Linked DNA regions of Schizosaccharomyces pombe. The protein of the gene in region 1 interacts with the protein of each later gene in a pairwise test. Each region holds a gene or a part of one and is shown on either strand. Other genes may lie near its edges. The genes, in order: hob3 and gef1.

Evidence for each region.
Region 2: the proteins of hob3 (region 1) and gef1 interact in binary tests that used the Schizosaccharomyces pombe proteins (3 or more experiments, as listed by UniProt).

The regions. Positions count from the first base shown.
Region 1 is NC_003423.3:1,215,169-1,231,173, reverse strand, and holds hob3 (BAR adaptor protein Hob3), read left to right. Parts: upstream 1-7,968; 5' UTR 7,969-7,977; coding exon 7,978-8,025; exon of another isoform or gene 8,026-8,067; coding exon 8,068-8,814; 3' UTR 8,815-9,430; downstream 9,431-16,005. Other genes in the region: orotate phosphoribosyltransferase Ura5, read right to left, coding at 1-95; acetylglutamate synthase Arg6, read right to left, coding at 381-1,883; GINS complex subunit Psf2, read left to right, coding at 2,147-2,698; nbl1 (borealin N terminal domain-containing protein), read right to left, coding at 2,867-3,008, 3,080-3,248, 3,298-3,412; CCAAT-binding factor complex subunit Php2, read left to right, coding at 4,260-5,264; tsp0 (tspO-like protein), read right to left, coding at 5,179-5,205, 5,733-6,200; pir2 (C2H2-type zinc finger domain-containing protein), read right to left, coding at 9,659-11,285, 11,357-11,387, 11,442-11,549, 11,602-11,665; peroxisomal targeting signal receptor Pex5, read right to left, coding at 12,359-14,155; serine/threonine protein kinase Ppk31, read left to right, coding at 15,253-16,005. UniProt on the Schizosaccharomyces pombe protein: Involved in cytokinesis and septation where it has a role in the localization of F-actin.
Region 2 is NC_003424.3:460,505-477,712, reverse strand, and holds gef1 (RhoGEF for Cdc42 (Gef1)), read left to right. Parts: upstream 1-4,722; 5' UTR 4,723-4,813; coding exon 4,814-4,855; intron 4,856-4,910; coding exon 4,911-7,130; 3' UTR 7,131-7,732; downstream 7,733-17,208. Other genes in the region: DNA replication pre-initiation complex subunit Sld3, read left to right, coding at 1-1,164; rps901 (40S ribosomal protein S9), read left to right, coding at 1,600-1,614, 1,660-2,220; SPOM_SPAC24H6.08 (uncharacterized protein), read left to right, coding at 3,016-3,678; SPOM_SPAC24H6.10C (phospho-2-dehydro-3-deoxyheptonate aldolase), read right to left, coding at 7,887-8,993; vsb1 (sulfate transporter), read right to left, coding at 9,538-12,414; NEDD8-activating enzyme uba3, read right to left, coding at 14,440-15,774. UniProt on the Schizosaccharomyces pombe protein: Has a role in the control of cell polarity and cytokinesis. Involved in bipolar growth, via modulation of cdc42-shk1-orb6 signaling, and septum formation. Stimulates guanine nucleotide exchange of cdc42.

The DNA.
Region 1 (16,005 bases):
TATGGAGATTTTCTGCCTGATTTTAAGGTGAAAGTTCCAAACTTCAAAACATTATGTTCTAAGGCACGACGCAACAACTCAAGTTTATAAGACATGTTTACTACTAGTTTTGTTGATAAACGTTGATACTCACAAAAGAAAAAAGCTAGTATCACCTTTTCTAAGCTCTACATGGGGGTTATGTGGGGGAATAAACAAAAATCATAACTAAAGAAAAATGCAAGTTTGTAGGCAAACTACTCAATCTATAATCTAATGTGCAAAAGAGAATTAATGTCCTATCAAAATGGACTTTTTTCCTTTTATTAAAAAGTTTGACAAGTGCTTTTGAAGAAGCGAAATAATCTTGTCTCTGATAAAGTGCAATCGTTAACTTCCACTCAATTCAACCATGTTGGCTGAATTTTATCAATAACGCTCATATACTGGTTCACTCGATCCAAATTTCTGACATGTGAGTCTCCAGTCCAGAAAAGTTTCCAAGGTGTTTTGCTTGACTTTAAGGAGCCTACACTTCTTTCAAAGTACCATTTATTGACTGGATTAGTCAGGCGAGAGCGCCATATCAACTCTTTGGGAAATAAATCAGTCATAACATTAAACATAACATCAGATATTGCTGCTGAACCCTGGGCTCCTTGTGAGACGGCAAGCTTATCAAGATAAGGGACCTTTTCATTCGTTGTTCCATCTGGTTGTTCATAAGTTACAATGGCTGTCCCTAAATAGTCCCCTGCAATAATGACTGCAGCTAGCGAATTCTTCAACCTATCTAAATATGCGTCCATATCAAGCGTTCGCTTAAAGGAGTCATTAATTAAAACCCAAAGCCTTTCCCACGAAACGGAGCCATCAGTTAGACATTTCGGACCTAGGAATGTATATACCGGTACACCGCTACGCAAAACAGTTGTTTTCGTAATAGGAGATCGATCGCGCGGCAAGGAACATGAAATAATAGAGCGATCCGTCAAAACATTGTGAATTAACGGATTTTTGTCTAAGACAGGATTTGTAAGCATAGCATCCTCAGGCGTAGTGATTAGAGCAGAGGCATCATCCGGTAACATTTTCAAACAGCGTCTTACCAAAATCAAATTTTTTCTATGATAAGGTGGAAGTGTTTTCGCTAACTCGTCAAACTCTTGAGCCAGATTGATGAGAACATGACTAGAACCAGTTTGTCGTTTAGAACATGGCATGCCACCATTTTTATCAAGAATGACGATTCGGTCTACCCAAAACCCAAAGTTTGGCTTGTGTAACGAGTAAGTTAAACCAGCAAGAACCTCATTACCATCAATTGGAACCTCAATGACGTTGGGCATTAAAATCGAGCTTGGCACTATGACCGTGTAAAGTGAAGACAGCGCTTGAAAAATACCTTGCACATTCTCAACACTAGGGCCTTCAGGGCCCAATTGACATACAGAGGAGTAGCTAGGACGGGTTAACACTCCCGCTTTCGAAAAAATTTCCGAAACTCGAATGACTCTATTTTGCTGTTGCTGTAGCTCCTCAAAGATTGAAAGTTTACGTTTTTTCGCTACGACCGTACCATTCTCCAAATATTTAAAAGGAGATGTCATGCCAATTGGATTGGAAGTGGGAACAATCACTGATTGAATCCCTAAACGTGCCAGGCTATTTATACTTCGACCAATTCCATATAGGGTATTATCACTTAAAGAATCCACATCATCAATTTTGGTAATAGAAATTCTGTTTAAAAACGAACTCGATATTGGCTGAGCGAAGGATTTCTTGTTGGGAGAGCCATCCTTAAGCGAAGAATGTTTTTGCAAAAACCCTTTCGTAGACCTACGAGATTGGACTGATTTCAATATCCAAATAAGGTCTTGTGACAATGAAGGTTTTTGCATTCAAAATTATTACCTTAAAACGAGAAATATAAAAATTTGACAATCATATACCGATGACCTAAGAGCAAGATGTGATTTAGATGAGGGTGACTATTATGAGTCCGAAACCCACCACACAAAAAATTATGCTGTAAGGAATAACAACCAATAAATGCTATAAACGAACTCCAAAATAGAAAAACAAAACTTTAAATAAAAAAAGACATTAAGCCCAAAAACGGTACTATTGATAGGCATTTTTGTACTGTTCGTTGGTGATAGAGATGGCCTTACCAAGGGAACTTGAAATTTCATTCTCACCAGAGGAAATGGAATTTTTAGCTGGCAATGAGTATATTAACATTGTTCCTTCAGAAACAATGGATCAATTGCCGCTAGTTAGCGCGACGATTCCCATTATGAAGCCTCCCAAAAAATGTCGGGTTCCTTTATGGTTGGCTCTTGAGCTAAAAAAGCAAAATTTGGCAAGGATTGTACCTCCGGAATGGATGGAAATAGGCAAACTTGAAAACATACGAGATGATGAATTGGAAAACGAGACATTCTCAGAGTTGCCTTTTCGGTGGCTAGAAACGGCGCATTTATTGTTAAACTTCTGTGCTGATGATATCGAGGATGTTGAGGATATCAGGAGGATTTTGCTGGACATTCGAGAAGCTAGACAAAGTAAAGCAAGAACGGGATTGGAAGCCATTAATGAAGTTCAACTAACTTTGGATAATTTGGGTGCAATGGAAATTAACGAAATACGTCCTATATTTCGAGAGGTGATGGACAGAATGCGCAAAATTGTTCAAGTTTCCCAAGAAGAATGAGTTACTCATCAAAAGTAAAGTGGGAAATAAATGGACTTCACATGAGAATATTTCGGTATCGTGTGGATGATGTACTTTAAAAATAATGATAATGAATCCTACGAAGTGTTTATGAATACCAACTTTGTAGTAGTGAAATTTTATCACAGTAAGCAGTAGATGAGGGTTTCACACTTGCGACTTTGAACTCGATTTGGAAACGGTGGTGCTTTTTGATGAAGAAGAAGAGGAGGATGCCACCGTTTTTGTAGGTTGTCTAGCGGACTTTTGGGAGGAAAGCTCGTCTAGATTATAAAATTCTTTTATTTTTCTGAAATAGTAATTAGCAATTAGTGTTTCCAGTAGTACGTATGGCAAAGTAAAATTTGATATTACACTTACGTTCTCCACGGTGTGGCAGACACATTGCAGGAAAGATGGTTCTTTAGATCGCGCAGATGCATATTTCGTTGAGCGCGAGGAATAGCGGCGATACGCATTTCTCCTCGCATACGAATTGTTGAAGCAAGTAAACTAGCGTTTGAGCGCAAACGTCGTACTTTATCGGAAACTGAAAAATACCCGTTAACACTTTACTACTTCCAGGTACAAAAACTTACGTTCAAATGCTAAATTTTCAAGTATATCGTTCTTGTGTTCTTGGAGAATTCGCTGTCGTACTTGACGATGTTTCGTCTCTCCAAGCTCTTCCACTCTTTTACGCTTGTTCATCATTAAGCATTATAAATTATCAAAAAACAAAACAGATGTTTGCTAACAGCTGATCAAAAGACGGTACTTCTGGGTGCGCTGAAAAGGTGGTGGGAATAAGAGTTGTTGTATAAACAATAAATCTTCAACTAATATGTAAGTAACATCGTTACCTAATACTCAATATGTAAACAAACGTTAGAAAGGAGAGGATTGCACAAAAAAGCGTACCCAAAAGATATTTTATAAATTGAAAGAAGAATAATGACCTAGAATTAGAAAAAAGCAGCAAGTTTACAAAATAAAAGCGTTGAAACACATCACTTTAAAAGGTACATAAGAATTGATGATGCTTACTTCTAAGTAAATTATTAATAATATCAAATAAAAAAATATTGTACGAGGTAAAAGTCTCCCTCTTCAACTACATCGCATACAACATTGAAAACTGTTTAAAAAAGATATTTGGTATAACGTGTTCCAGTGCCATACGCTACAATGCAACCTCTGTTGTATTATATTTCGACTGTTAGCTTTTTTTTAACCCAATTCATAAGAAAATAGTTATGCCATTCAGTTAGTGACATTATCATATGTGTACATAAGATTATATATTCGTTTGTGACAAAATGCACTGCAAGCCGTCCTCACTATTTGCAATCCTGGAAAGATCGACAATAATCGTTATACACATTTACCGATATGTAAAGAATAGCTGCTTACCATTGGTAGTCGCTAGCGCCTGCGGAGTTACAAACCACCTAAACCAACCAACCGACCAACGAGACGAATATACCGTAACGAGCAGAATTTTGATTCCTGAGATCCTCCCAATAGTTAGAGCAATTGAAATAAGAATAGTCATTTTCCAATGAATCCATATGAGCCGGTCGAGGGGCTTTACGTGAATGCAAAGCAATACCATCGAATTTTGAAACGTAGAGAAGCTCGCGCAAAGTTAGAAGAGAGATTGCGTGGTGTGCAGACTACGAAAAAACCATATTTACATGAATCAAGGCATAAGCATGCTATGCGACGACCTCGTGGTCCTGGTGGCCGATTCTTGACTGCTGACAAAGTATCAAAATTGAGAGCGCAGGAAGCTGCAGAGGCAGCTGCTAATGGAGGAAGTACAGGAGACGATGTTAATGCCACAAATGCCAATGATGCCACCGTGCCTGCAACCGTTTCTTCTGAAGTGACTCACACGTCTGAAGGATATGCGGATAGCAATGATTCAAGACCTAGCTCTATCTCCAACTCGTCTGAGTCTCCAGCTCCTATCAATTCTGCCACAGCATCTATGTCTCCTGCTAACAATACTTCTGGAAACAACATTACTTCTCCAAATGTCAGAGGCGAGCTAGACATGAGTGGTAATATTGCCATGTCGGGTGGGCCCACTAATACCGCTTCCACCTCGGGGCCAGTGCCTCATGATATGACAGTGCTCCCACAGACCGACTCAAACACATCGAATCTTATGTCCAGTGGTTCTCAACTAGGCAGTTTTGCTACAGCTTCTACCAATGGCAACAACTCTACTACTACTACTACTTCGTCAGCTGCTCATCCAGGGTCATTTCATAAAGGTACTAATGATTATTCATCTACACTAGCTGGAAATGAGCATAGTGCTTTTCCTGGTCTGGATGTGTATCACGATGATAGCGTGTCTGCAGGTGCAGCTTTTATACCACACAATCCAATGGATTCGATTGATCACCTTGATGTCAATGATCCTACAGCCACAGGTCTCCCTGTACTACCAGCGAGCGATATCGATCCTCTTAATTTAACAGGCAATACCCAAGATTCTATGATAATTGGTCAGCAAACATATCCCTCACACGGTTCTTCAGGAACCATGAAGTAGTCAACTAATTAAGGCTGAGAGAGATACAAAACAATCACAAGACTGTGTATAGGTTGTCGACCTACCGACAAAGTTCAATTTAGGACTGCAATGTTGTTGGTGATTTTTTGAGAAAGAAACAAGTCGAAATCACTCAGTCATGGCCTTTTTGCATATCATATTATACTCATTATTTTTTTAGTCACCGATTTATTATCCATCAATTTGTTTTGACTTTTTTCGTTCTGCCCAATTTTTTTTTTTTATTTAACTCATATCCCTCCTGCTGTCTTTTTCTTATTCCAATAATATTTTTTCTCCGACCTGATTCTTCTGTTATTGTTTTTTTAGTGTTTTTTTTTCTGTTTCTTTCAAACTTTGATCGTGCAGCTTAAGCTCTTTCTTAAATGCAACAATACATTCTACTGTCTCATGTCATGCTTTTGACTCTCTTGATCTACATCAACCTTAATTAGTGACATTACTTACCAAGTAGCCAGCGTATCCCAACCAGGCTAAATAAGGAATTAACCATTTGGAAGCCGTTGGTGCAAGAGGCCACCATGTCTTTGCAAGCCAACCAACAAGTCCCGTCAAAATGCCGAGATCGGCAAGAGCCAATTTTGGTTTTGCTAATCCGTAGAACAAGGGCATCCAAGCAAAGTTAGCGGCCAACTGTGCAATGTATAAAATGGATCCATTTCGAGAGGCATTCGTAATCATCAAAGGGTCAGCCTTGTACGCCAAATGGGATGCATATCCCATTGTTAGGTATAGTAGTGTCCATGCTGGTCCAAAGGCAGATGCAGGGGGGTGGAACTTTGGTTGCTTTTTGTTCTCATAATCCTTTCTTGGCTTGTAGGAATTCCCAATGAACCAGCCGCAGGCGACTGGAACGAGAGAAGCGGACCACCAATTTTTGGAGATGCTAGTGAATACTTGATAGTTCAAATCCATCACACTTAATAATATCGTTTACTGTTGATTAGCGAAATCGGGAAAAAAAAATTCCACGAATGTAAAGAGTACTAACAACGACTGCTACTAAAAAACCATAAGTATTTCGAATCTTAATGCAGCTCGTTTACAAACAGCAGAGATAATGTCGAGATACAAAAGGTCTTTCAAACCATGCTAAGCAAATAGACATGGAGTAGCTAGAGTTAAGTTTGATAATTAAAACTGACATACATTAAACTAGAAATTTGGAGAAGAGTTGTTGAAACTTCTAATTGAATTGAAGATTAGTAAAATTGGACCATAAAGCTTAACCATCTTTCAATCTTCCATACATTTTAAAAACGGGCACAGTATCGATATGAGAGAAATACGATACTAAACTAAAATAAAAGGAAATACTTAATTGTAGTTTGATCTTGGAAGCTACTCGAATGTATAATTCACCATATTTATAACCTCGTCTATTACGTCACAGAAGGGAAGGAGGAGCGAGGTATTGGGGTATAATACGTGTTCATACTGCGTAAGGTGGTGGTAGATGTGTCTCGCTAAAAAGTGTTTATAAGGAGTTTTCCATAAGATAATATTTTCAGTACAACTAAATTTTTTATATTATTAATATTATATTATAAAATTATGTATATCTATTAGTAGCAGCGCTTGTTTTCTGTAATAGAATATATTTGGGCTGGTCAAATGCGGTTAATTATCATCACACAGATGAGATTTATGGGCAAATTTAGTTATAAAATTAGATAAGACAACAAAGAGAGAAGAAAGGTTTATTTCGGTGCTTTTGTTTCTTACTTTCAGAAGAATCTTTCTCTTGGGCATTATCTGGATGTCTTACTGCCCACAGAACAAACAAACTGTCATTGAATGGCTGAGTTCTTGTTTCAATATCTAATATCGCTATACAATAGCTCTCAAAGTAATGCACCACTACTACAACTTAAGTTCTTCACTTTTTGAGTAAGGATGCAAACTATGAGACCGGGTTTTTTTAGCTCAAATGTCGCTGAAAAGCGTTTTCTTTATAGTTTTATCATGAATGATCTCATATATTGATAAGTAGCAATCGTGTCTTTCCATGTCGAAGCCTCAAAACATTATATCCATATAATGCAAAACCATTTATTCCACCACTTCTAATGAAATTTATAAGTTGGTAAAATGTCCGTATTTCAAATTGCTTCTCCACAATATCTTCCATTTATGAGCAAACGATATTACCTCTATATTGTCAAGTTAAAATGTTTACATTGATATATTATATTAAACTATAACATAACTATATTACCTTATAAGGCGATTTCTGCTGGATGCAGTTAGTGAACAAGAATTATCTGAGGATAGACCTCTAATTGCAGTCAGAGATTTACTACAGATGATTATACAAGAAAAATTTAGATATATTTTTTAAGCGATGTAATTTATTGATAGTGACATGAAAGTAAGCCAACCCTCGAAACCCAAATTTACCACCATTATGCTCTTGCTCTATCAATTAAACACAAAATTAACGACACGCTTTTCATCCTTATCTTTTTATAATTGCATTGTGAAATAAACTATCATTATTCTATTTAACGCAATGATAAACTTCGCAATCAGGCTTTACGTTATGGCTTTGCTTCCGTGAATTGTTCCCTACGCGAATCCTGCTGAATCCACTAAAAGATCCAATGCAGCTTAGCTAGCGAACATTAGCGCAGCGATCAACTGACATAAGATATCTGGGTATGCCGACGCTTCTCTTTTCCATATCACAAAAATGAGTTGGCATGGATTCAAAAAGGCCGTTAACCGAGCGGGTACCTCGGTATGTATTTGAGTGTTGAAGAATTGTCTAACATTGTGGTAGGTTATGATGAAGACGGGTCATGTTGAGCGAACGGTGGATCGGGAATTTGAAACAGAGGAAAGACGTTATAGAACTATGGAATCAGCTGCAAAGAAGCTTCAAAAAGAAGCCAAAGGTTATCTCGATGCTTTGAGAGCCATGACTGCGTCTCAAACTAGAATCGCTAACACAATCGATGCATTTTACGGTGATGCTGGATCGAAGGATGGTGTCAGTGCATACTATCGACAAGTCGTCGAAGACTTGGACGCCGATACCGTAAAAGAGTTGGACGGTCCTTTCCGGACAACGGTGTTGGATCCCATCTCAAGGTTCTGCAGTTACTTTCCCGATATTAATGCCGCTATCACGAAGCGTAATCACAAATTACTTGATCATGATGCTATGAGGGCTAAGGTTCAAAAACTGGTCGACAAGCCTTCCAACGACACTACTAAGCTTCCCCGTACCGAGAAAGAAGCAGCCATGGCGAAGGAGGTCTACGAGACACTCAATAATCAACTGGTCAGTGAGCTTCCGCAACTAATTGCTCTTCGTGTGCCTTATTTGGACCCTAGCTTTGAAGCCCTTGTCAAAATTCAGCTCCGCTTTTGTAGGGAGGGATATGAGAAAATGGCTCAAGTTCAGCAATACTTTGACAACTCTGTACGCGAAGACTATTCCAATGGTTTGTTGGATGATAAAGTTGAACAAGTTTTACAGAGTATGCGGGATCTTTCCATCGCCGGTTTGAACAACAGTCAGTAGACATCGGTTTTTTAAACACGATTGTATGTGTGCATAGCGCTATCACTCTGTTTTCTCTTTCCTTTTCTCCTCCGAAATAATTGTTACTACACGTAACCATGATCTCTTATCCCTCAATACTTTTTGTTTAACATATCCTTTCTCTTTTACTACTTTATTACCATCTTATCTTGTTTATCTGAAGTGGTTCACGGAATGTTTTCAATTTATTCAATTTTTTGTGATACATAAATATTTTCCATACTTATCTATCCTCGAGTATTTTCTATTGGTGTTACTGGAATTGAAGGGAAAGCCAGCACATATTTATTAAAGACTCAACTGTGAAGCTTCTACATCCTTTCAGTTTCGTAACGTTTCCTTTATAATTTTTTAATTGGGAATAGTTATCAAATTATCAGATAAACAAATTGGTTTTCCAATATTGTCTGTCGACCCAGCGATTCATCTACTAAACTGTGCTTATTTTCTATCTCGTACCAAGTTTTGTTCTAATAAATAACTATTGTTAAGTAAGTTTAGACCAAATCTTAAAATATAATAATTAGAAAAAAAAATGCTTTTGTTGACTTACGAATTATTAATTTGAATTGTAATTTATTAATTTTCCAAACAATAGCTATCTTGTAAGCTGTAAGTCAAGTTGGAAGTGGGTTTATTTCTATCTGTGCAGCGTTCGATGTTTGATTTTCGAACATGGACTTAAGCGTTCAATTTTACAATAGCTGTGAATGTAGATTATCGCTACTTTAAAATCTAAAATATAGTATGGAGCTACAACTGCTAGTAACGTCTATACAGGAAATGATATTAACCAAAAATCTTTCTGACTAAGAACATAAATTTAGTAATCTAATTCTGGAACCTCCTGGTTAGGCGCATCCAAATCTTGATAAGTTCTATAGAATTCCCGTCTGTGGATCATGGGTTCTTGCCTCGAATAAGATTTTTGTGATGATGCTCCAGAAGTTATCTCCTCGTCATTTCGTCGACTATAGCTTGTTGTTGGAAATGTATAGTTTGCGTTAATATTTCTGAAACCAACGTAGGGCTTGTTTAAAATCTGTAAGGATACATACGACGTGCTTACCACTTTGGGATCCATAGCCCTACATGGGTCAAGCACATATCCATAGAGACATATAGCCACCTTTTTAATGTGATCCAACCAATCCTTATGCTTTTTATTTATATGCTTTCTGACAAACTCAGGTCCTAAGAAAAGCTTCGCGCATGTTCCGACATGACACCTATATTTTTGTTCATCTTCTTTCATAATAACAGAGTCCAATTCGTTATTAATAAAATCTTCAACGGGTAATGCCCCTTTTGCTTTAATATCCACATTTTCAGGCTCAAGAAGGCAAGCAAAATTGTTTTCCAAATCTGACAACCAAATATTTTCTTCTTGACCGACTTCTTTGGATGGATTAAACTTTTTCCGCGAGTAACCTGCAGGACTATCCTGCAGTAAAGCAATTAAACTTTCGTACTCTTTACTAGTCCAGAAATCAAAAGTAGCCACTTGGCGAAGATACTCGGCGTACAGATCACTTAAACGAATGTCATGAAAATTCGTCGGCTTATCATCGTCATCTTTCATAGATGCATGTGTTTTCAATCGATCTTCGATACGTTGTGCAGCATCATTTGGTAAACTATACTTCGTACTAGCCCGATCTATAAAACGGATTAGTTTTTCTAGCAAATTTTTACATGTCTGCTCAGAAGAAGCGATTTCAAAAATAGGTATGGGATGCGTGTGAGTAGGAATTTTTGGATTTTCAGATTCAATAGTAAAATTTGAATCCAATTGAATCCCATCCACCGCTTCTTTAGCTCCATCCATATTTGTTCCTGCTTTGAAATGAACCCAAAGTGAGCGTTCATCATTCTTGATTAAATTAATAGTAGAAAGGGAAAAATGTTGTACGAACGAAATACCATCGAGTGCATTATGAATTTGCGCAACCGAGATGTTGGGCAAAACATGACTGACCAATAGTGTATTTTCCATTGCATCGTTTCGAGAGTCTTGGTTCCATTTGGAAAGTTGCGGGTCGTTAGAAGGAAGAATTGAGTCATCTGTATCATTATCAGGTATTGACGGCTTTTCGATTACATCCTCAGCGGTTGGAAGCTGAAAATCATCATAATAACCGGCGTCTAATCTGTCCATGAATTTATCGTATAACGCCCGGCGATAAGATTTCTCATTTTCAGACACTTCAAGGACTCTTCCTTGTGACTCGTCCACCCAATAGCTGTCTTCAAACCAAGCTTCGTCACAATGGCTCTCAACAAAACTTCTTGCGGTCCTAGCGTATAGATCCTGTTTATAATTGTTGTAAGTTCCATGAAGCGAGTTGTATAAGTCTTCAGTTGTTGCGGATATATGGTTTTCCTTGCTATACCACCGAATAAACCGTTCATAAGAAACCGCATTTGTTTGAGTATATGGATCAATTAAACTAGTCTCCTTGTTAGAAAACTTTGGTTTTTCACTCACATCGAGTAGAGTATTTATTTAGTCGTAACTTACGGTTTAGTAAATGTAGGGTAAGGTCCAGAAGCTAGACGTATTGTAGTTAATAGGTCAATTCATAGAATTTTATATTTATTCTTACCTCTTGTTCTATCATCATAGTAATTACCACGCTTTCGTAGAGGAGACCGTTCTCGATGATACGCAGACTGTTCACCAGGGGGGCTCTGTGAACGTCTTTGACTCCGTTCTATGCAAAAAAAGGATGAGTATTTCTATCAAACTAAACATTAACAACTTACCAGGAGAGCGTTCTCTTTTCCAACGACTGTACTCTACTTCACTTTCTTGATGGACCTCACTCATATTTTGACACTGTTCCCCTTCTATAAATACCAGCAATCGGGATTAATTTATTAAAAAACTAATGATTTCAATTGGGTCAAAATTGGTACTCAACCTGCTTAGTTGAAGAATGTTCTTACGAGAGAGAAATATCCATACAGCACTTTATGCTGGTACACTAAGTTTCATTATTCAAAATATAGAAAATTGTCAAATACTTTATTATACGCATCAGTATATCTAAATAAACTGAGATTATAAAAGCAAATGATTAAACAAAAAAGTGAGACTTCGAATTTTATGCGAATGCTATTGAACAATTAATACTAAACATTGTCTCATTATCGTCAATAAATACAATGTTGGATTACTTAAAAAACTGTGCTTACAAAGAGCTTAGAAGCACTCTCACAAAAGTAAACAATAACATCTGTTTTCAAATCACTGAAGATCTAATTTCCATTGTATAAACGGTCAAGAAAGGTACAACTTGCATACCAATAGTAACTTTGGTAGCATAGAGTAAGATTTCTTTTACTTTTGTTCTCTGCTTCAGATATTGAAGCGTAAGTTATCTCATTTCTTGTGCAACAAAAAAAAAGTAGCTTTTGCACGTCCTCTAAAAGATATGCCTCAGACAAAAAATTTAAAAAAAAAAACAACCAAATAAATAATAACATGAAAAATGAATTAAGCACGTTTGCTTTAAGAGATTTATTCGAGCTCAACACCGGGCCAACCTTGGAGATCACTTAACTGGGCTCGTATATAACTAGTGTTTGCTCCAGGATAGGACTGAGAGGCAAGATCAGTACTTTGGAATCCAATCAAAAATACTTTGCGAAGCATTTCCCAAAGTTCCTCATTTGATTCGCAGCTCTCCATTGAGGTAGAACTGTTTTGTATAATATCAATTGCAGCAAGTAGATGTTTTGCAGCATCTTCAAAGTATCCTAAATTGATGTTGGAAACAGCCATGTTTGAGCGAACTCGAACATACTGGGGCTGTAGAGATACTGCCCGATTATAGGAAGAAACAGCTTCAGTATTTTTTTCTGCATTTGTTAAAGCAGCACCAAGCTTATTCCACAATATTTCGTTACTTGGTTCGTCTTGAAGAGCTTGCCGAAAACAATCTGCAGAACGCTCATACTCCTTCAACATATACATAATTATTCCTAATCCAGCTTGTACCTTGGAGGAACGCTTCTTAGCAAGTGATAACTCATAAGCTACATCCAAGAAATACATCTGCATTTTCAAGAGATCGTTAGCAGAATCTTTCTCTTCAAACCTTTCGTTTATCTTTGCAAACCTGTTTCGGTATTGGGGAAAACTGTTGACTATCCAGTCTTCTAAGCAAACCAATGCCTGAACATTTAGAGACTGATTAACATAAGACACAGCAAGATCCATCATTAAGTCAAGATTGGTTGAATCCAATTTGACAGCTTCAAGTAGGGCTTCAACAACCCGCGATTCGTTTCCCAATAGAGTATGAATGCGACCTAACCATTTCCAGGCCTCGAAGTGCTGTGGATTCTCTTTCACAGATTGTTCCAATAACACAGCTGCTTTCGAGATAGATCCTCCATTTTTTATTAAATTCATGGCTTCAACAAATGGATCTATTCCGTTTAGCTCTTTCACAACCTCTGAAGATTCATCTTGGTTCTGTGAATATACATCTTCCGTTTGTAAAGAGTTTTCAACAACGTTATCAGTATCGCTATGCTGGAAAATTTGAGGATCTATGTTTTTATTATGAGCTAAATTATCATTAGCAAAGCTATTCACAGACGAAGTGTAAGGATCGTCAGAAATATTGTTTGACTTTAAAAAATCTTCCCATTGTTTCTGGTATTCCTCTAAACTTGCGGGCTCTAGCCCGGCGTTTTTCAATTGCTTTTGATGCTCTTCCCATAGCTCCTCAATTGATTTACTTCCAGTAGCATCCTTTTCCTTCTCTAATTTATTGGAGATTTGAGAAGCTTCCTCAAATTTCTTAGCCAACTCAGTTTCGTCAATAGCTAAAGAACTTTGTAAGGGTATTTCAGTATTTGAAGATAAATTTAGTCCAGCGGAACCAAAAAAAGATTGTTTTAAAGGTTGGTTTAAGTTTCGAAAACGGTCGTTTTCAGATGAATTGAGAAATACTTCAGAGAATTCTGATGTCCAAGCCGACTTACTATTCTGCTGCTGAAGAGAAGAAAAAGAATGTACCCAATTTTCTTTCGAGCCTCCACGAGTAGTTGTGCCGGTATGATTTCCAGTTTTTAAGCTAACTGGGTTCTTAACTACATTACCTAAAGGACTATTGTTTCCTTGGAGATTTTTGAAAGATGTGAATTGATCCTCAGACAGCGTTTGCAAAGGAGCGTAAGTACGACTTTGAGACTTGGTTAAATGTTTTCGATATTGAGCTGAAGGTGTTGAATTATTGACAACAGCTGTGGAAGTCAATTTCTTAAGAGGATTAGATAGCGTTGAACATCCTGCTTCAACAGACATTTTTGAAGAAAGTAGACTATAGCCAATATAAAGGCTCTCGACCAAAAGGAAATAGTTTTTTAAGTAGGTTGTAAGAAAATTAATATCAAAGAATGAAAAATTTCGCAACTTGATTGAATTTGCGATGTGTTTTAAAAACCAAAAATATGAAAACAAAAAAGCGGAAGAAGTAACGATGCAACTAACCAAAAAACAAAAATTGATCGCACCAATGATTGTTACAAAACTTGCGTATAAACTCAGGCATGTATTGCTGCTTATTACCAATTACAAAAATATTTAGATGAGTGCGCTCAGTTCATGTAGATGCTGAGCGTAGCACGTTAGATTAATCGCTTCTGTAATACACCACATTAACCCATATCAATTTATAATAAAGACTTTCTCTTTATTTTTTCAGACTAATCTATTGCCACTAAGGAATTTAGATTTCAACATTTTATTATACTTTTGTAAACCATGCTGCATATGTTAAAACCATAGCTTTATGATACAGAGAAAAAAATCCATATTATTTCTAAGTTCTTTTCAAATTAGTGTGATTAGAAAGTTAAACCAAGGGTTGGATTGAAGTATTAACTCTACATCTATTTATTCACCTGTTGTCTAAATTACAACGCCAAATGAATTAAATCACCAAATACTTCTGTCGCTCACAATAAAATGTATTAAAAAACTAATTAATTTTCGCTAGTCAATATTCGCTGTAACAATGGTTTTGGTTGTTTTCTGCTTAATACCAATTGATGCCACCTACAGTTCACATCCGACAAATATTTGTTAAAGAACCTGTCGCTAATTAAAGTGCTAAAAATCGCTCGTTCAAATTGTGATCTCATTATGAATTAGCATATTAGTTGGCGAATTTAATAAAGCCAAGTAATAAATTGATGATGTTATAATAACGAAAACATTGTATACAACAACAATTCCGCTTCATAAGTAAAAAAAGGTATTTAAATTATACGAGTCTTACAAACTATTAAAAGTCTTTGCCGAAAAACTATCGCGTAAGAACCATTTGCATTGATTTTACACAACTTTGAATACAATTTCTTTTATACCAAGAAGCTTAAAGTGTTCAATTATGATAAACAATGACTAATCCAGAGCAATTGAAGAGGATACTTTCCCACGAAGTTCTGCTGAAAATTGAAATGTCAAAAAATGGAATAGTGGAATATGCCAATCCTGCATTTTTTGAATTAATCGGCTACGAAGGAGATTTATTTCAATGTAGTTTCTATGAGTATCTTCAAAGCGATGATGAACACTTAATGAAGAAAGCAACCGATAATCTTTTCAGAAAAAGCATATCAGTTGCACATGTCTTTGCTTTTCTCAGATGTAATCCAATACGCAGTCCTAATTATTATATTCAACAAGCCAAAGCTCCATTTGAGGGAAAGACGTATATTAGAATGCTTTTTCGAGGCATTCTAGTAGACTCATTGTATGGTAAAGATACAAGGGTTTTGTGGGCAGGAAAATATTTATATCCACAACGGTCCGTGATCAACGAAATGGATTTCATCCTGTTTAACACGTTAGGGATTGGTGCCTTCATTCTTCATGATCATTTGCTCGGAATAATCAAATACAATTATATACACGTTCCTCCTCCTTCAGGAAAATTATGTTCGTTGTGTGAAGATAATTTACCAGAGTGGTACTTTGAGGTACATAGCGATTTTTGCCTTGTTTGGAATGATCTCGTACGCCGCGTTTTCGCCGTACAACAATTGATAAATTGTAAGAAGCTGGAAATAGAAGACATAGTTAACAAACTCCCTACGGGTAGTAATCATATGGTTGAAGAAACCTTTCTTTCCTTGCCGGTCATAACAGTA
Region 2 (17,208 bases), on another chromosome or scaffold:
AACATATTAAATCGAGAAAATTGTCAAATTACAAAACTTGACTTTGAGAGGGAGTTTTCCCAACTGAAATTGAAGGAGTATGAAATTCGTGTACTTTTATACTTTGAGATTCTATACCTTTTTTTAAAATGGGATCCTGAGTACGCAAGGCGTCGGGCTAATGATAACAGTTTGTTGGATTCTCGCGATAGTGGTAAACGAAAATCTCGGAAAAAAAACGCAAAAACGCTTAATCCTTTTGAAACTGCTCAATTAAAATTGGAATTTACATTTGATGGGCTTTGCATACGAAGGACTATAGAACAAAATGCTACCGAACGATCTGAGGATCTCTTATTGAAGTTTTGTAAGGAGACAATAGTCCCATATTACTCCTCTAAATTCCCTCGAATTACGCGCAACCTTTTAGAGAAATGTAACGGTTTAGATTTATTACCAGAACGCTCTCATAAGCATAGACATAGCGCTCCTCCTCGTTCAAAATTGATTAGTAGCAAATCAGAAGCCGGTCGCGCTTTACCTGGAAATACTTCTGGTGCCAGTATATCCAATACTTCTAGTCCTCATTCGGAGGCCTCTATCTCTAAGGATTATGAAATTCTTAAACGTCGAAGAAGCAATTCTGGGGTTCATTCTTTGACTCGGTCAGATTCTTCATTCAATGGTTTTGAGAGGGACACTAGAAGAAGGTCTTCCGATATAGCTCGCATCAAGAACCGTGAAATAAACCTTCCTTCTTCGTCTTTGTCAAAACAAAGAAACTCAATGCATGATATTTCTACAAATTTTCCACGAAGAAACTTATCGTTTACTGAGAAACTTACCATGGCAAGCTTACAAGGACAAAGTGAGGAAAGTGTACAGCCGAAAACAACTTCTTCTCTTTCTCGGTCAAAAACACTTAGCATTCTCGAGGGATCTGTATCTAAGCGCTCAGAACCTTCGATGGATTCAATTCTAGTGCAAGCTACTCCGCGAAAAAGTTCTTCTGTAATAACTGAACTACCCGACACTCCTATAAAAATGAATTCATTAGATAAAGCTTCTGCTTGCACCGTTGAGAATCACATCGTTACTGAATCCCCCGCTCACAAATCAAACAAAGCTCAATTGTTCGTGTGTGTCCCTACAACACCTGTTAAAAAAAAATCAGCCAGTCCTTGATGAATTACTTAATTTTATGAAAATCTTTCTCAGCTCGTGTAGTATCTTGAATGAAGTCATATAGGAGGGTATGAGATAGTCTCTCAGGTTAAAGATTACGATATTTATTTACACAATGAATCAGCTATTAAATTTTTTTGAATTATTTTCTCAATAAGTATAAGTAAAAAAGAAAAATGAAAAACATCAATGAAATAATGATACTGCGGTTCAACAACAGTAACAAACGTTACCAACGTTTTGGAAGTTGGCATATTTTACAACAAATTAAATCAAATCGAGAAAAGCATAATTCTTACATATAAACAAATTAACTTGTTGAAGTATAGTCCTACAACACTGCGATAAAAATAAAAACCCTACCCTATATTGGAAGACAGTCACAAGCCACAACACATCTCTAATGAACACGGTGTGCTTTTTCTCACCACGAAAATGCCTTCCGCACCTGTAAGTAATCAAGTGTATATAAGAGTATTACTAACATTAAATTAGCGCAAGCAATCCAAGACTTACAAGGTCCCTCGCCGTCCTTTCGAGTCGGCTCGTCTTGATGCCGAACTCAAGCTTGCTGGTGAATACGGTTTGAGAAACAAACATGAAATTTGGCGTGTGGCTCTTACCCTTTCCAAGATTCGTCGTGCCGCCCGTGAGCTTTTGACACTTGATGAGAAGGATCCCAAGCGTCTTTTTGAAGGTAATGCCATCATTCGTCGTCTTGTTCGTTTGGGTATTTTGGATGAGACTCGTATGAAGCTCGATTATGTCTTGGCACTTCGTATCGAAGACTTTTTGGAGCGTCGTTTACAGACCCAAGTTTTCAAGCTTGGTTTGGCTAAGTCTATCCATCATGCACGTGTGTTGATCTTCCAACGTCACATTCGTGTTGGTAAGCAAATTGTCAATGTTCCTTCTTTTGTTGTCCGTTTGGATACTCAAAAGCACATTGACTTTGCCCTCTCCTCTCCTTATGGTGGTGGTCGTCCTGGTCGCTGCAAGAGAAAACGTCTCCGCTCTCAAGAGGGCGGTGAAGGAGAAGAAGCCGAAGAAGAGTAAATTAAGCAGGTGTGACATTCTCTTCTATACATTTCTAAATGGGATTTCTTCATAGCCGCTTCTATCTGCCTAATAAAGAAGTTTGTTTGATTGCATAGTGGTTAATTTTGTTTTGTGAAATTTTAATTATTGTACTTAATGTGTAGATTATAATTATGTAAGATTGTAGTGTCAGTTTATTTCATATGAGTAATATGATGAATTTGTTGTTTGTTTTGTAAAAAAGCTGCTTCAGGTAATAAACGGATTTTAAATAGAAGGTCGTTGATTAAGTTTTTCAGGCTTTAGATGGTAGTTGAGCTTCTACGGATATTAAATGTTAATTACTTCTATCGCTCGAATGGATAATTATTCAAACATCGGAGCCATTGCAATATGCTGACCTTTATTATTTGAAATCCATTATTGTATTAATTATGATATTCCCGTACGTTGCACATTCAGCGCTATTGTAAAAACTGAGTAGGTAATTTTTACTACACCAAAATGTCGATATTATTCGTCAGCTACGAACTTTGATGCTCTAAGTACTTATATTTATCCTTATTATAATAACCTTACCATTTTTTCCTACTACCGTTGTTTTTAATAGTTCCGCTGCTGAAATCACCTTATTGAACATGTGATATATGGCAATGTTGCATTCGTCTCTTCTTATCCACTACCACAAACCTTCTTGAACTGCTATAAAGGAATACACCAGCCAGTTTCTTTGGTCGAGATAGAAAGATTCTTATTTATTTCGTTCGTTTAAACAAACTAAACATAGAACAACATTATTTGCGTCAACACAACATGACTTCACATCAAACTGGGAAAATTGAGGTGCACTGGAACGATCCTTCTTCTGGTATCTTTTTAAGTCAAACTCAACGAACGTCTTCCACATCAAGTTTAAAGAAATCGGCTTCGAGTAGACGTTTGGTTTATGGTGATGACATGCTGGCACCCAAACCGTTAGCTGGTCAAGTACTTAGTAAATCACCACTTCCTCCTTTTTCACCTTCAAAAATTATGAACAGGAGTATATCTGTTCCTCCCACGAATATCTCTGTTCCTCAAATTAGCAGTAATCCTCTCAACTTGATGAAGAAAAGCAGTGACAATGATATCTTTACCACGTTTAACGATACAACAAACGATTGTATGAACGAAGCTTCTTGTGAAGATGTCAGGCACTCCCTATTGCAAATTATAGAAAGTAAATCAAATCTTAGTGATTCTGTTCATAAGATGTTGGGTGAACGAGTCAAAACGAATTTACTATTACAAGGTCAACTAGAAAACATGGAAGGCTTTTGGCTACAAAAATTATCGCAAACATGTCGCTTGGCGTTGACAGGAAACATTAGTGAGGCGAAGGCATTTATTGTAGAAATTATGTGTGCCGGTGTTGTAACTAATTGTGTGCGCTGGTGTCCAGTTTTGAAGACTCTAATTGAAAACCTTGCTATCTAGCTTTACATGTTGTTATATATTTTCTAAATCTTCCTGCTGCAAGTTATATGACACTAATGCTCTTTTTTTCTTAATTCTATCATTTTTAATGATGTTACTCATTTGCATTTTAACAAACCATTTATAAGCATGATTAGCTATGTCGGACGCTAACGAAGTTACAAGTTAAAGGATTTAATAACACTTCCTTTTTGAAATTAGAAGAAATCTTAATAGATATAATGGAAGTTTCCATTTTTTTTACAATATATATTTTTCTTATGGCCTGTCGATTAATAGTATTTTTAGTTTAATTTACTGAAACATTATATTTGTTTTTAGTGAACACCGTAGAATATTTAGGAATTTTGACTAGGTCTGTTTATCATACACACTTAGTATTAGATATCGTGATTTTTTGAATATATGAAAAAAAGTACTACAGACAGAAAATGCAGCGTATTAGCCTCAAGTAATTATTAAAAAAAATAAAAATTTTCTTTTAAAATTATACAGTGTTTACCAAAGTTATGTAAGACAATCAACTGCCGCTTCTCTCTCATTTCTGTTTATATACATCTTTAATGTTTATTACTTATTAAAAAAAAAAAAAAAAAAAAAAAAAAAACAAAGCAAATTACGTGCATTACCAAGAAAACAAAACCGCTCTAAATATTTAAGCTAATTAAAACAATGAAATAACAAATTTATTAACTTGTAACCGTAACAGTGGAATTTATTTTAACTGCTGTCATTTCTAGAATTTCATAAAGGGAGACATGAATAAATTTAACCTTATATTACAAATTGTAAATACGTAAATGTTTATCACAAAATCGAATACTCAAGTCATATTACTATGTACCTGTGCAAGCAACCATTTGTAAACCAAGTACAAAGGTAAACTGCCTCTGTCCGCGGTTGGCGCTCAAAAAGCTGAGCCAAGCCTATTTTTGGCAAACTATTTTTCGTGGGTGATTACGTTATGCATTGGTAATGAAGATAAGGAAGTGGAAGGTATTGAAAGTGGATTAAGAAGAAGTTGGCGCCAAATCTCCAAAACCTGTGCTTTACCAACAACGTTACCTAATAAAATTCATGTAAACAAAATTTCCAAAATTGTCATTCATTTTATTGTTCTCCAAATGTTTTCAATATGGAGACTTTAAAAGCAGATCTTTCGGATATGTCCGATTCCGTATGTCCTTATACTTGATTTGAATGTGTGTATATGTGTTAACAATGTTGATCAGCCTGAGTACTTTGAAACCTTGGCAAACAGGGATTTACCAAGATTGCCTGGAACAAGCAAGCTTCATCGAGCTGCATGTATTAAACGAAAATCTATCAATTTAAGCCTTCCTTCTAACAGTTATTCGCTTTCTTACCGACAATCAGACGACACTGATGGCGATGTTTCAGAATCACAGAGTGAATACAGGTTGAGTAGTGGAAGGAGGTCTCGAGCAAGCTTTGCTCGTGCTTTACAAGATCCCCAAACTCCAAACACTCCTCCCGTATCGTCTCAGCACCGAAGATTCTTTTCGGAGGGCTCCTTCAATTTGCCAAACTCCAACATGAGCCACTCATTAAATGGGGATTCTACAGCCTCTAATAGTTCTACTTTAACCCCTAATCGTATTTATGGGGACCGCAATCGTCAAGATTATGCTCAGTCTAGCCGATATACTTTGCCTTCGTTGCCTAGTTCCCCATCATATAACTGTCCTACAACACTTCGAAAAATACATACAAACACGAGTAGCAATGGAACTTCACGAAGAGTTAGCGGCCTAGGGTCTTTTATGGCACAGAATTCCTCTGAAACTAGCAGTAACAGGACTTCGGCGTATCTACCTGGTAGCTCTACGGATGAACAAGAAAAGCGTTCCAGTGTGACTTTGGCAAGTATGCCTTCCTCTCATTCGTCTACAGCGTCCCTCCTTTCACCTCTTGATACTACTTCTTTTTCTACTAAGTTGGACTCTACTATTTTGGCCTTGGAAACTGATGAGTCTCTCAGCCGAACAATTTCGTATGCCACTACTTCTTTACCGAGCACACCAGGTAAGCGTTTATCAAAGGAATCTCTTGCTATGTCTGAAGCCAGTTCTATCAATCCAGAATATAAGCGTATTAAAAAGCGTGCAAATTTGATTAAAGAGCTGGTTACTACTGAAGCTGCCTATTTAAACGATCTCATTGCGATTCAACAAAGTTATGGCTTGCGGGTCAAAGAATGCAGTGCATTGAATCCAGTTGACGCCCAAACAGTTTTTGGCGATATAGAGTCTTTATTAACTTTTACTGTGGAATTCCATAGTCGACTTTATCAAGCTGGTGAAGGCTCCTGGCGTGTAAACTTGGATACCCAGCTTATAGATCCTCTTCCTTGCAATTTAGGTCTTATTTTTTTAGAAAGCCTTTCTGAAATCGGTCAAATTTATACTGGTTATTGCAACCGTCAAGATTCGGTTTTCAAAATTATCACTAAATGGAGAGAGAAACCTGCAACTGCATCCTGGATTATGGAGGGTGATAAAATAGTTCAAAAATACACGAACGCCTGGGATTTGGGTAGTTTAATAATTAAACCTTTACAGCGCTTACTCAAGTACCCCCTATTATTGCAAAAAATCATTGATGTTACTCCTGAAAGTAGTTCTGAGCGCCCAGATTTGGTCCTTTCTTATCAACTATTACAGGAGTTAATATCTGGTATAAACCAGAAGCAGAAGCCTTCTCATAAGCGTGGGTCGTTAAGTGCTTCTCATAAACGAGACGCTGCTTGGAGTTTACTCTATAAAGCAACATCGAATAAATCTAGGCCCACCACTACATCTACTGAGTTAAAAACTGATGCTCGATTGAATTTTCAACGCCAAGTGCTTCAAGATTTTCGACAACGATTCGCTATATTAAAAGCCTTACATGCTACATTGGAAACGTGGTACGTTACTGTACATCGTGGATTTTCGGTTTTTGAAAAGGTTTTAGCAGAGCTTGAAGGGCTTAGTGCTTTAGAGCCCGAAGACAAGCCGGTAGATACGTGGCGTAAGTATCATTTACTTGCGCACATGATGACTGCTAACCTTCCTTCTCAAATACAAACGTCTTTAAATTCTTCTATCCTTAACCCAATCACAAATATCCTACGAGTGATTCAAAAAGTTATTCAGTTCATTATCAGCGCTGAATTTGTGATTCCTGCTCAAAAGCTTGAGGCAATTTCTACTCTTGTTGAGAAGGAATTTCACAGTGTTGTTTATCATTTTATTGGTATTCAACGCTCTCTCTATGAAAACTACGCTCAAGGTTTCTTGTTTCTTATCCCTCAAGACATGAGGGATAGCATCTTAGAAGAAACGCAAGATTATGCAGAGTTAGTTCGAGCCTTTGAACCCATGCATTATGATGACGAGGTATTGCTGGAGGAATTAATGAAAAGTGTCTCTTTAGCTGCGAGGGTTTAAGAGCAACTTCTTTAGTCGAATATTTTTTATCTGTTCTATATATATACACATTTAGATATACTGCATTCATGTTACTTGAATGATGAAAACGTTTCTCTGGACCATGGTTTTTTGCAGCTTCCATGTATTTAACATCACAATTACATTTATTTAACCTAATATCTGCGTTTGTCTGATTACAATTCGTTTAGGTTCTTTTAACGGTCTTTTTTTGTCTATCACAGAGGCCTGTTAAGTTTAGTTTCAAATTAGGATTCTAAACGCTTTTACGCCTTCCTTTTATGCATCTCATTATTTTTGTCTGCTCAAGTCGAGCTATTAATTATTGTCTTTTCACTTTTTTTTTTTAAACTAGGAACGTTTTGGCTTTTCTGCTGTTATGCCATTTTATTTGTTCATACGCTTCCACTTTTCATTTATATGCTTTAATAATGTATATAATATTTGACTTTCACTTTAACTATGTTTTATGTTTAAAATATGTAATTAGGTTTTGATTGAATTAATTTTGTTCGTCGTTATTTATCCTAGTTGACTAACAAAAACAGGTCAAATTCTTACATTCGTAGTAAAACCAAAACGTAAATAAAAATACTTACGATGAAACAGTCTGGAACCATCCGATAAAGTGCAATGATAAGTACGATAAATAACCTTTTAAAAGTCACACTGTTAATTACGGCAAATACAAATTTATTATACAAGAAACCAAAAAATTTATTTTTATAAAACTGTCTCAATAACCTTCATTATAGGTTAATGAGAACGACGAGAACGGACGGCAGCAGCCAACTGTTCAAAAACGGCGGTAGTGTCGTCCCAACCAATGCAAGCATCGGTGACACTGACTCCATATTTCATACTTGACAAATCATCCTCAGGTATAGCTTGCTTACCTTCGTTAAGGTGAGATTCGATCATGACACCAGTAATTGCTTTCTGACCGTTTGCCACCTGCTCAGCAATACAAGCAGCAACCTTGGGTTGATTCTTATGGTTTTTAGATGAGTTTCCATGAGAACAGTCGATCATGATACTAGGTAGCTTGTTGCATTCTTCGAGTTTAGCCTTGGCACCAGCCACTGAATCAGCATCGAAGTTAGTCCCACTTTTACCACCACGCAAAATAATGTGTGTATCAGGGTTACCTGTAGTAGTAACAATGGCTACAACACCCTGCTTTGTGACAGACAAGAAATGATGAGGGTTGGCAGAAGAATTCATAGCATCTATAGCAATACCAATGTTACCGTCAGTAGCATTCTTAAAACCTATTGGAAAAGAAAGCCCTGAAGCAAGTTCTCGATGCAATTGGGACTCAGTGGTACGAGCACCAATAGCGCCCCAGCAAATTAGATCAGCTAAATATTGGGGACTTATAGTGTCCAGCATCTCTGACGCTATACCGACACCAGTTTCCAGAAGCTCCAGAAAAATGCGTCGAGCGACACGAATACCCTTATTAATGTTATAAGATCCATCCAAATCGGGATCATTAATCAACCCTTTCCATCCAACAGTTGTACGAGGCTTTTCAAGATAGGCGCGCATAATAATATGCAAGTCCTTCTTGTGCTTAATAGCCTCCTTTTGCAAGCGAATGGCATACTCCTTGGCGGCAACAGGATCGTGTAAAGAACAGGGTCCAACGATTAGAAGAAGTCTATCATCACGTCCCGCAATGATATCGGCGGCTTGGCGTCTTTGATCCGACACAAAAGCAAGTGTTTCATCAGAGGCTGCTAATTCTGATTGAATTAAAGCAGGTGAAATTACTGGATCATAGCCTTTGATACGACTATCTTCAGTTTTACAACGTGAAAAAACACTGTCGCCAGGAAGAAGAGGAGTGTGCTTGTCCATCTCTTAATGATTTTCTAACTTGTAGAAGACAAGCCATTAGTATAATGTAGTTCTCAAGACATCTGTAATAAAATTTTTTAACGAGATCAATTTTCGCTACTTTAGATTACGAGTTACAAACTACTGCGCTGTCATAAGTCTTGGACATTATATTTCCAACTATCAATAGAAACTGGTAAACAATATCCTTTTGTAAGCATGTATTATTAAAATGAATGCTTCAATTTAACATTTCGAAGTCTTTTCAAAGTATTAAAGTAAGTATAAACTATTCCTGCTTAACAAAACGACTATCATGAACAAATGCAAAAAAAAAAAAGCATAAGAACGATAACTTTTATTATTAGAAGATAAATTTTATTACCCTAATAAACAAAATAAATTGATTAGGCAATTAGGGATTGACAAAAGATATCAAGCGTCGAGTATGTTTTAACAAAAAAACAATTTCAATAATTAAATGACAAGCCTCTTCAGGTGTTATTTTTATGCTTTTAAATGACCCAAAATGCAGAATTATTGTTTTGATAAATTGGGAACAATTTTATCGATACAAATTTAGAGCAAAATTGGTAAATACATTAAATTTGTCTCGAGTCATTTTCAAAGTTAAATATAACATTTCATTTTCAATGACTTCAGCCTTGTCAGAAGATTTCAACATAGTCTCCCATCCTTCTCGGTCAAGAATCCATACAGCAGAATCTAATTCAGCTACAACTGTGGCATTATAGCATGTCTTACTGAAGAATGGAAGTTCTCCAACAACGCACAAACATGTGATATTTTCAGATAAGCTTTCTCTATCCATTTGGTACGAAGCCTTAACCATCCCAGTTTCCAAAATAACAAGTTTTGAAGGTGTATCACCTTTTCTCCATAATAAGTCTCCTTTTCTCAAGAACGCCTTTTTAAAGAATGGACAGAGCCCAAGCCAAAAATCTTCTCGCTTAGTGGTAATCTCTCCAAACACTTGCATAAGTAATGGGAAAGGTTGTTCGTATTTGGCGTACTTTTCGAATTTCGATAACTCCTTTGTTTCAGCTTTGACCGATGACATAGCAACTTGCCTTAGCAAATCGTGTCTGGGTGATGGTGAAAAGGTTTCAGCCATTGAAATGTTTTGTTTGTGTTTTCCGGGCACAGCTAAAGTATGTGAATACCCTGCCTTGTGTAAAAGTTTAGTGCGATACACGTCGTAGTCATCTAATAACATGTTTTCACAGTATTCCAATGAAGAGTTGACATCTTCAAAGACCTGACAACCGCAATTATCATCGCCGCCAAAGCACATAGTAGTCAATGTTTTGAAGGAAGACCGAGTCTCATCCAACCCACAGACGCATAGCTGTACATTCATAGTCGCTAACATACGACGAATGCGTAGAAATGCTTGGACGACACTAAAATCTGCTCCATTAACAAGACTAAAATCGATAATAAGGAATCTAAGCGGATTATTTGAGACATTCAGCTCCTCAATCAATCCAGCAATGTTTTTCTCAACACCGTTGATAGTACCGAAGAATAAGAAACCAGAGAGTTTACACACTTGGATTTGTCTTCCAATTTCATTTAAGAATCGTTGTTGATTCATAGGACGACGTACCGTAGAACGAACAATACCACCTGAATAAATTCCACGTAAAGCGGAACGGCTTGAAGCCTGAATTACAAAGAAAACACATGCCATAATGATGCCAATAACAATACCAACAACGAAATCCACAACAGTCATGGTGAAAACAATTGCACAAATAGTAAAATATTCGATTTTAGTGGTTATACCAATGGGATCCCATAAAGATTCTTTTAGAAGTTCAATACCGAGTAAATAAATTAGGCACCCGACAGTCCAAACAGGGATATAGGCAATAATTCCAGGACCTATAACTAAAAGGGCTACAGTTGCCAAAGCTAGCATAATACCTGCCAAGCGATTGTTACCTCCAGATCGAATAAACATTAAAGAATTCGTATATGTCATGTAATTTTGAATGCTGCCTACAGCGCCAGATAATGTATTGCTGACTCCATGAGCAATTAGTTCTTTGTCAGTGTCTACAAAGTCGAGCCCAAGTGAAATAGCTAGCGCTGGAACGTTTATAGGAACATGCAAAATTCCAAAAAATGTTAAAGCACACATTTCAGGAACAGTGGCTAACAATGCGCTCCAATCAGTATCACGTAAACTAAACAAGCTATAAAAATGATACCAAGGTACGTTAGTCTCAGTTGAAGAGAAAACCCATCCGGTCTCACGTAAATACTCTAGACTCATGCCTGGTATTGCCCAAACTAAAACGTAAAAGATAGCCGGGGCAATAACAAAAAACGAAGGAATGAGGAATGGATGCGGCCACCTCTGTTGAGCAAATTCCAAAGCGCTTGAGAGAAAAAGAGGAATTGACCATTTTGCGAACGTCATAGGCTGAAAAAGAGCAGATAGGGAAGCCCAATTAAATGAAACACTTCCTTCTAACCTAGAAGACACTTCAACGGCCGTAAGAACAAGAAAGCTTCCAACACCACCTATACAACCAAGCAAGATATGTCTAGGAAAAAACTCAATAAGCCTACCAAGTCGGAGGATGCCAAGAATAAAAAACACCAATCCAGTAAGGATACTGGATAAACAATACGCCAAAATTGTAGTTGCAATAACGGACTTTGGGTTGTCTTCACCAACACGATTCAGGATGGTGAAAGCGATCTGATGGAAAAATGGAATTACCTCAATCATCTCTGAGCCCACACTTCCTTTAAAAAAGGAGCCACCAAGAGAATATACTAATTGTGATACAACACAACTTACGTAGTAAATAGCAAGGCCATCGGCCCCCAAATTTTTGAAAAGAGGGTCGGAGATTGGGAATAAAATAAGGCCATAAGAGAGAGCATCCAAAATATTAAGGAGTAATCCAATGATGACAGCAGGTATATTAAGGATAAATAAGATGGGACCTTTATCATCGAAGAAGAATTGATAGATCTTGCTTAGCGAAATGCGACCTCTCAGTTTTTTAGAGGGAGCGTTCAGTGACTGGAAAGGCAGTACCTGATTCTGAGCAGGTGGCAGTTGAGAAGAATGTTCTTCACGTTCCGGAAGCAAAGGTCTTGTCTCATTGATTTCAGAGGGGCGATAATTAAAGTCATTGCGAGAAGTGGAGGCTAGAGAATGTGCACGTTGGTACGAGCTTATAGACATATAGTCATAATTGGAAACATCATCGTTCGTTTCTGGAGAATTTGAAGGAAGAGTTTCGGGATCCACTTCGACAGAAGCCAACCGAGCTGACAGAAGATGAATGTCATTAGTATCTCTAAAGCTTTGACTTAGGAACGAAGAGTCTGGGACCGACCCGTTGTCAATACTAGGATAAAGCAAACTTCTTTTCTGATTAAGGCTATGGGTGGGCATGGATTATTAATTTTTTTAAAGTCTTCAAAAGTAATAAATATGAGTTTTTTTAAGGGACACCCAACGAATAAGATGAGTGAGAAAATATGGGGTAGGCGATTTTTTTTAAAAAAAATAAAAATAAAAAACAGACAAGACTTTGAAGGTAGAAAAGTTTGTTTAACAATCAATTAAATTAAAAGCATTAGAGGGAAAACACAGTGAGAATAAAAGGGCCCAGTTAAGCGATGAAATGAAACTGTAAACTTTTCTGTATTTAAATAGCTATGGAAATGTATTAAAACCAAGTACAAAAGCAAGCTGAAAGATCTTAAACCTCAAAAGGACAACGTTGGTAAGGAATGAAGGATGAATCAAGAATATACAAAAAATGTACGTCTTAAAGACACTTTTTCACTTGCAACTTCCAATACAGCCTAGAATGTAAGACGATAACAGTACTTCCAATACTCGCAAATACTTTGCTAAAGATACCTTATAAATGTCAAACAAATGCAATTATGAGGTAGAAAGTAACGGTAAAATCACACCAAAAGTTGAGATTTTACAATAAATACAAGAGGATCACCAATCTCAAGCAACCGTTAAAGCTTTCCAGAGATAATTCCCAGGGGTCAATGATTTGCCCGAATTAATTGATACTTTGGTAAATTGGCACTATCGTTCAATTAATGCAATGAAGAAAAGCACCCTGATCTCCTCAATTCAAGCAGAGAATGGTGAATGTTTAAGAAAGGCGTGCAGATGGCGGGTGTGTTGTGACAAAAAAAGCTCGCTTCTTACATGCTTCGGTATCTGCAGTAATATATATATATATATATTTATTTATTTAACAGATTCAACCAAATACAAGCTGTTCCGGACTGATATTTTTTTTTTCTCCTAATACTCCTATCAATAAAGTAATGTCTATAATTGCAGGCGGATCAGTGAAATAATTGTTTTTCTAGTGAGCCATTCTATTGATAGCGGTAAATCCCCAGTGAGTATCAGCAGCAACAAATCCCTCTCTACGTTATCATAAGCAACAATTTTAGTGTCATAAATGCGAAAAGTTGATAATAAACCATGCGGTTTTTCTCGTCTCCGAGATTGGGATTCCATTCATGGAAAGTCGATGTCAACCGGCTCTTAGTAGTAAGAAAAGCGTCAATAATGTATGTCCACGGTCAAATATCCGTTGAGAGCAAAATCATGTTTTTCTACTGTATACCTACGTAAACGAATAAAATAATTACAAAAATGAAAATTTTAATTTATTTATCGATTTTTTTTTTTTTTGGGAAAAAGACTTATTGCTTTGTTTCGAACGATTTTTAATTTCTATTTATTTGAAAATGTAATAACTTGTTTTATTTAGGCGGATTTAATAGCTGCTGAGCAAATACTAATTCTGTTGATGTTATTGCTAAATGATATCGCTTGTTTTATTCCGATGAAAATTTTTGAAAATTCGGTCGTTAAAAGTCATGTTTTTGCAACATGAATCAAAATAATTGTTTATGGAAAAGTAATGTCGCAAATGCCTAAACAAAGGGCAGTGCATGTTTTTATCACTCAATGACAATGCTCGTAGCAATAAAATTAATAGCATAAAAAAAGGCAAATAAAATTAACTTAAAGCATTTGATTTACTTTCTATTTTGCAATATACTTTGCACATTGCATGCTTATATATGCTAAATACCTAACTGTATGCATACGTTTCGTGTTTGTTGTCTGTTGTAGATTTGTAATTTAGAGTTGAATAACTTTGATTTGGTTTAATTGTTTCTTTTTTTAAAATTAAATAAGATCTTTTCAACTTATATATTTTTTTTGAGATGTCGTTAAACTGAAGACATTGAAACAAAGTTGAAATGACATAACTATAAATAAGCAAGGAATTATAGTAAGGAGCGTGAAGCAGATTCTCTATCTCTTTAGTGATATCTCTTTTCAATTTATAAGTATATTGAAATGCAGCGAAACTGCTATTCTACACAAAAATATCCACAGTCTATTAGCGATTGATAAACATCAAATCTAGCATTCTCTCAACTGAACAGACAAACTTGTAGAAAGATTTTTATCAGTAATTACAAGGTTCACATCAACCGACGTAATACTTAATATAGGTTGAGATAAATTTTTAGATGTCGCAACTTGAAGAGCTGGAGGTGAAGCCAAGTACAGAGGGGTTCCTGCAGCTGTTGAAACCGAAGGATTTTGTAGATTATAAGATTTAGAATAATGATTTAAAATATCCTTTAAAGTAACGGTAGATGAGGCTGAAATATCATAGACTTCAGACAATACGCCGCAAACAGGACAATCTGATCTCTTTTCCAAATTAAATGTATATGTATACGCTCCATCTTCACCGACATACATCATGTAATTATCCAAAAACGGATTGCTTTCCGTCAAAATTTTTAATGCTTCGTTACAACAGCTCGCGGCAATTATGGCATTTGTCGACGCAACCGCTGGTATGATACGCTTTACGATTCCTTGCACGAAAAAACGATTGATTGAGGAAGAGGGTATTTGAAATTTATTGGCACGTTCGATAGAACGTTTTACGAGCCAGTCAATATGTCGGATATTATCTGGTTCAAAATTGGAATTTTTTCCATCCAGCGGTTCAAAAACTTCTTGCTTAGAAAAACTATCAACTGAAGCATTAAGAAAAACTCGAGGCCATTCGAGTAAATATGCCCATTCGACGCAATGCTCCGGCAATCGAGGAGTATTCGCCAATGTACATATGGGATACGAAATCTTAGGCGTAAGCATGTCTAATGAACATTCATAGCAACTTGTTATCGTTGGAATGATTACTCGGGCTTGACCCTTAAGGCCCTCTGAGCCGCCATCGACCAACGGTATAAGATCTCCTGTCTTAGCAATGGCCACGAGAGTTGAATTGATCCACCGTCGAGCTTCTACTGAATCAAGGCCACATATAATAAGTTTAAACTCCTTATAGAATTCAATTGTTTTGTCTTGAATTTTCCCATAAAAAGGTGTTACTACCGTAGAAGGGATTCGTTTCATAATCATTGATGCGGCAACGTTGGCTTTCGGCTCATCAATGTTGCTTTCATTAAATAGAAATTGTCGATTCAAATTTGTAATGTCAATAGTATCCATGTCGATTACGCTTAAATCTCGAAATCCAGATAATGCTAAATCCTTTAAAATCTCGCATCCTAGACCACCAGCACCAATAATTAAGATTTTAGAAGAAAAGGCAGACTTAAGAGTTTCTTCAGGGTTTTCTGGAGCATCCAAGTTGAAAGGCCCTGGTTTTTTGAGACTTTGGATCCATCCAGAATGCCTGTGACTACCAGCTTTACATACGTCTGAGGAGGGCATCTCCTACAAAAAAATAATCGTTTTTTGAAGTATTTCTTAAAATTTCTGAGTCAAGAATTTGTATTCTCTATTAATGTCAACGAAATGCGTTGGAGGTTGGCTTTGTTCCCAATATTCGTTACATGTAAACAGAAAAGGAATTTGTGTATGAAAATACTCCAATGCTGTCAGGAAATATGGCTACTCATTTAATAAGAGGATAATGAAATGGAGTATGAAAGTTGGAAGATACTTTTTAACATGTAATAATGTGATATAGGTGTAAGTAACAGTCCTACCGACACACGCAGAACAGAAGAGTAACTGATTTCACTTCGTAATGACAATACTAGGTTACCAAAGCAGAATTAGTTGAATAAACGTCTTTTTTCATTTTATTTGAAATTGGCTTTTGTATTGGCATAAATTGACTAAGAATAAAAAGCTGATAGAAAAAATGGATATACTAACACCCCAACGCAAAAGCTCCATCCCACAAATGAGTTTGCATAGATTAATACTTGCTCTACAAATGCGTTGGATAATCTGATATTATTAATAAACTATTTGCGCATAGTTTTTGAAATTATTCAGGGCGAACTGGGTTGATTAATTTACGCAAACGTATACATTCCAAGAACGCATTTGAGCAAATGCAACGAATACGTAGCAAAAGAGACGTAAGTTATATTGGAGGAGTCTCGTTCTCAACTCATCTTCAGTTTACCTATATACTGGTGTTGTTTACAGTATTGCGTCTATATTGTAAAACGACAATACTCATCATTTTCTAGTATGGTTAAGTAATAGTCGAGAACAAAAGCACACGAGAACAGAGGAATGTCCGTCACATCAAGAAATCAAGTATTAATGAAAATGTTTCATCCAAGCAACCGATGGTTAAAATAGCATGAATAAACAAAAATCACCTTTTGCTTGAATAATTTTGTACATTTCTTTTTTATATAATTGACACTTAAACGTGTAGTTTAAATATTTCTATTTACATTTCTGCTGCATACAATATAGCTCGAAAATGTTGGTTTACATGTAAGTGCGAAACTATGACACATTTGAATAGAAAGCGAAGAAAAAAACCTTAAACCTAGAAAACTTGCAGGTAGAAAATGATTGCTCACATACGTATGTGATTACATATACTACAAGCATAGAATATTAAATTCTAAATTCCTTTTTTTTTTTACTTACACCATGCTCTCTCATATCATTATTACCTACTAAGTATATGAGGCTGTGTAAAGCCAGCTGTCATTTTCGTTGACATGATGTGCAATTTGGTTTTTCTTTATTGGTGAAATTTATGAAATCCGAGATTGACCTTTACAACACTTTAGCGCGTTCAATAACTGGCTGGAAATGCTTTATTCTGCGTGCGTACAAGATAGGGCAGCGAAATTTTTTTGGTGAAAAGTCCGGTAAAGACACTCGCTGTTG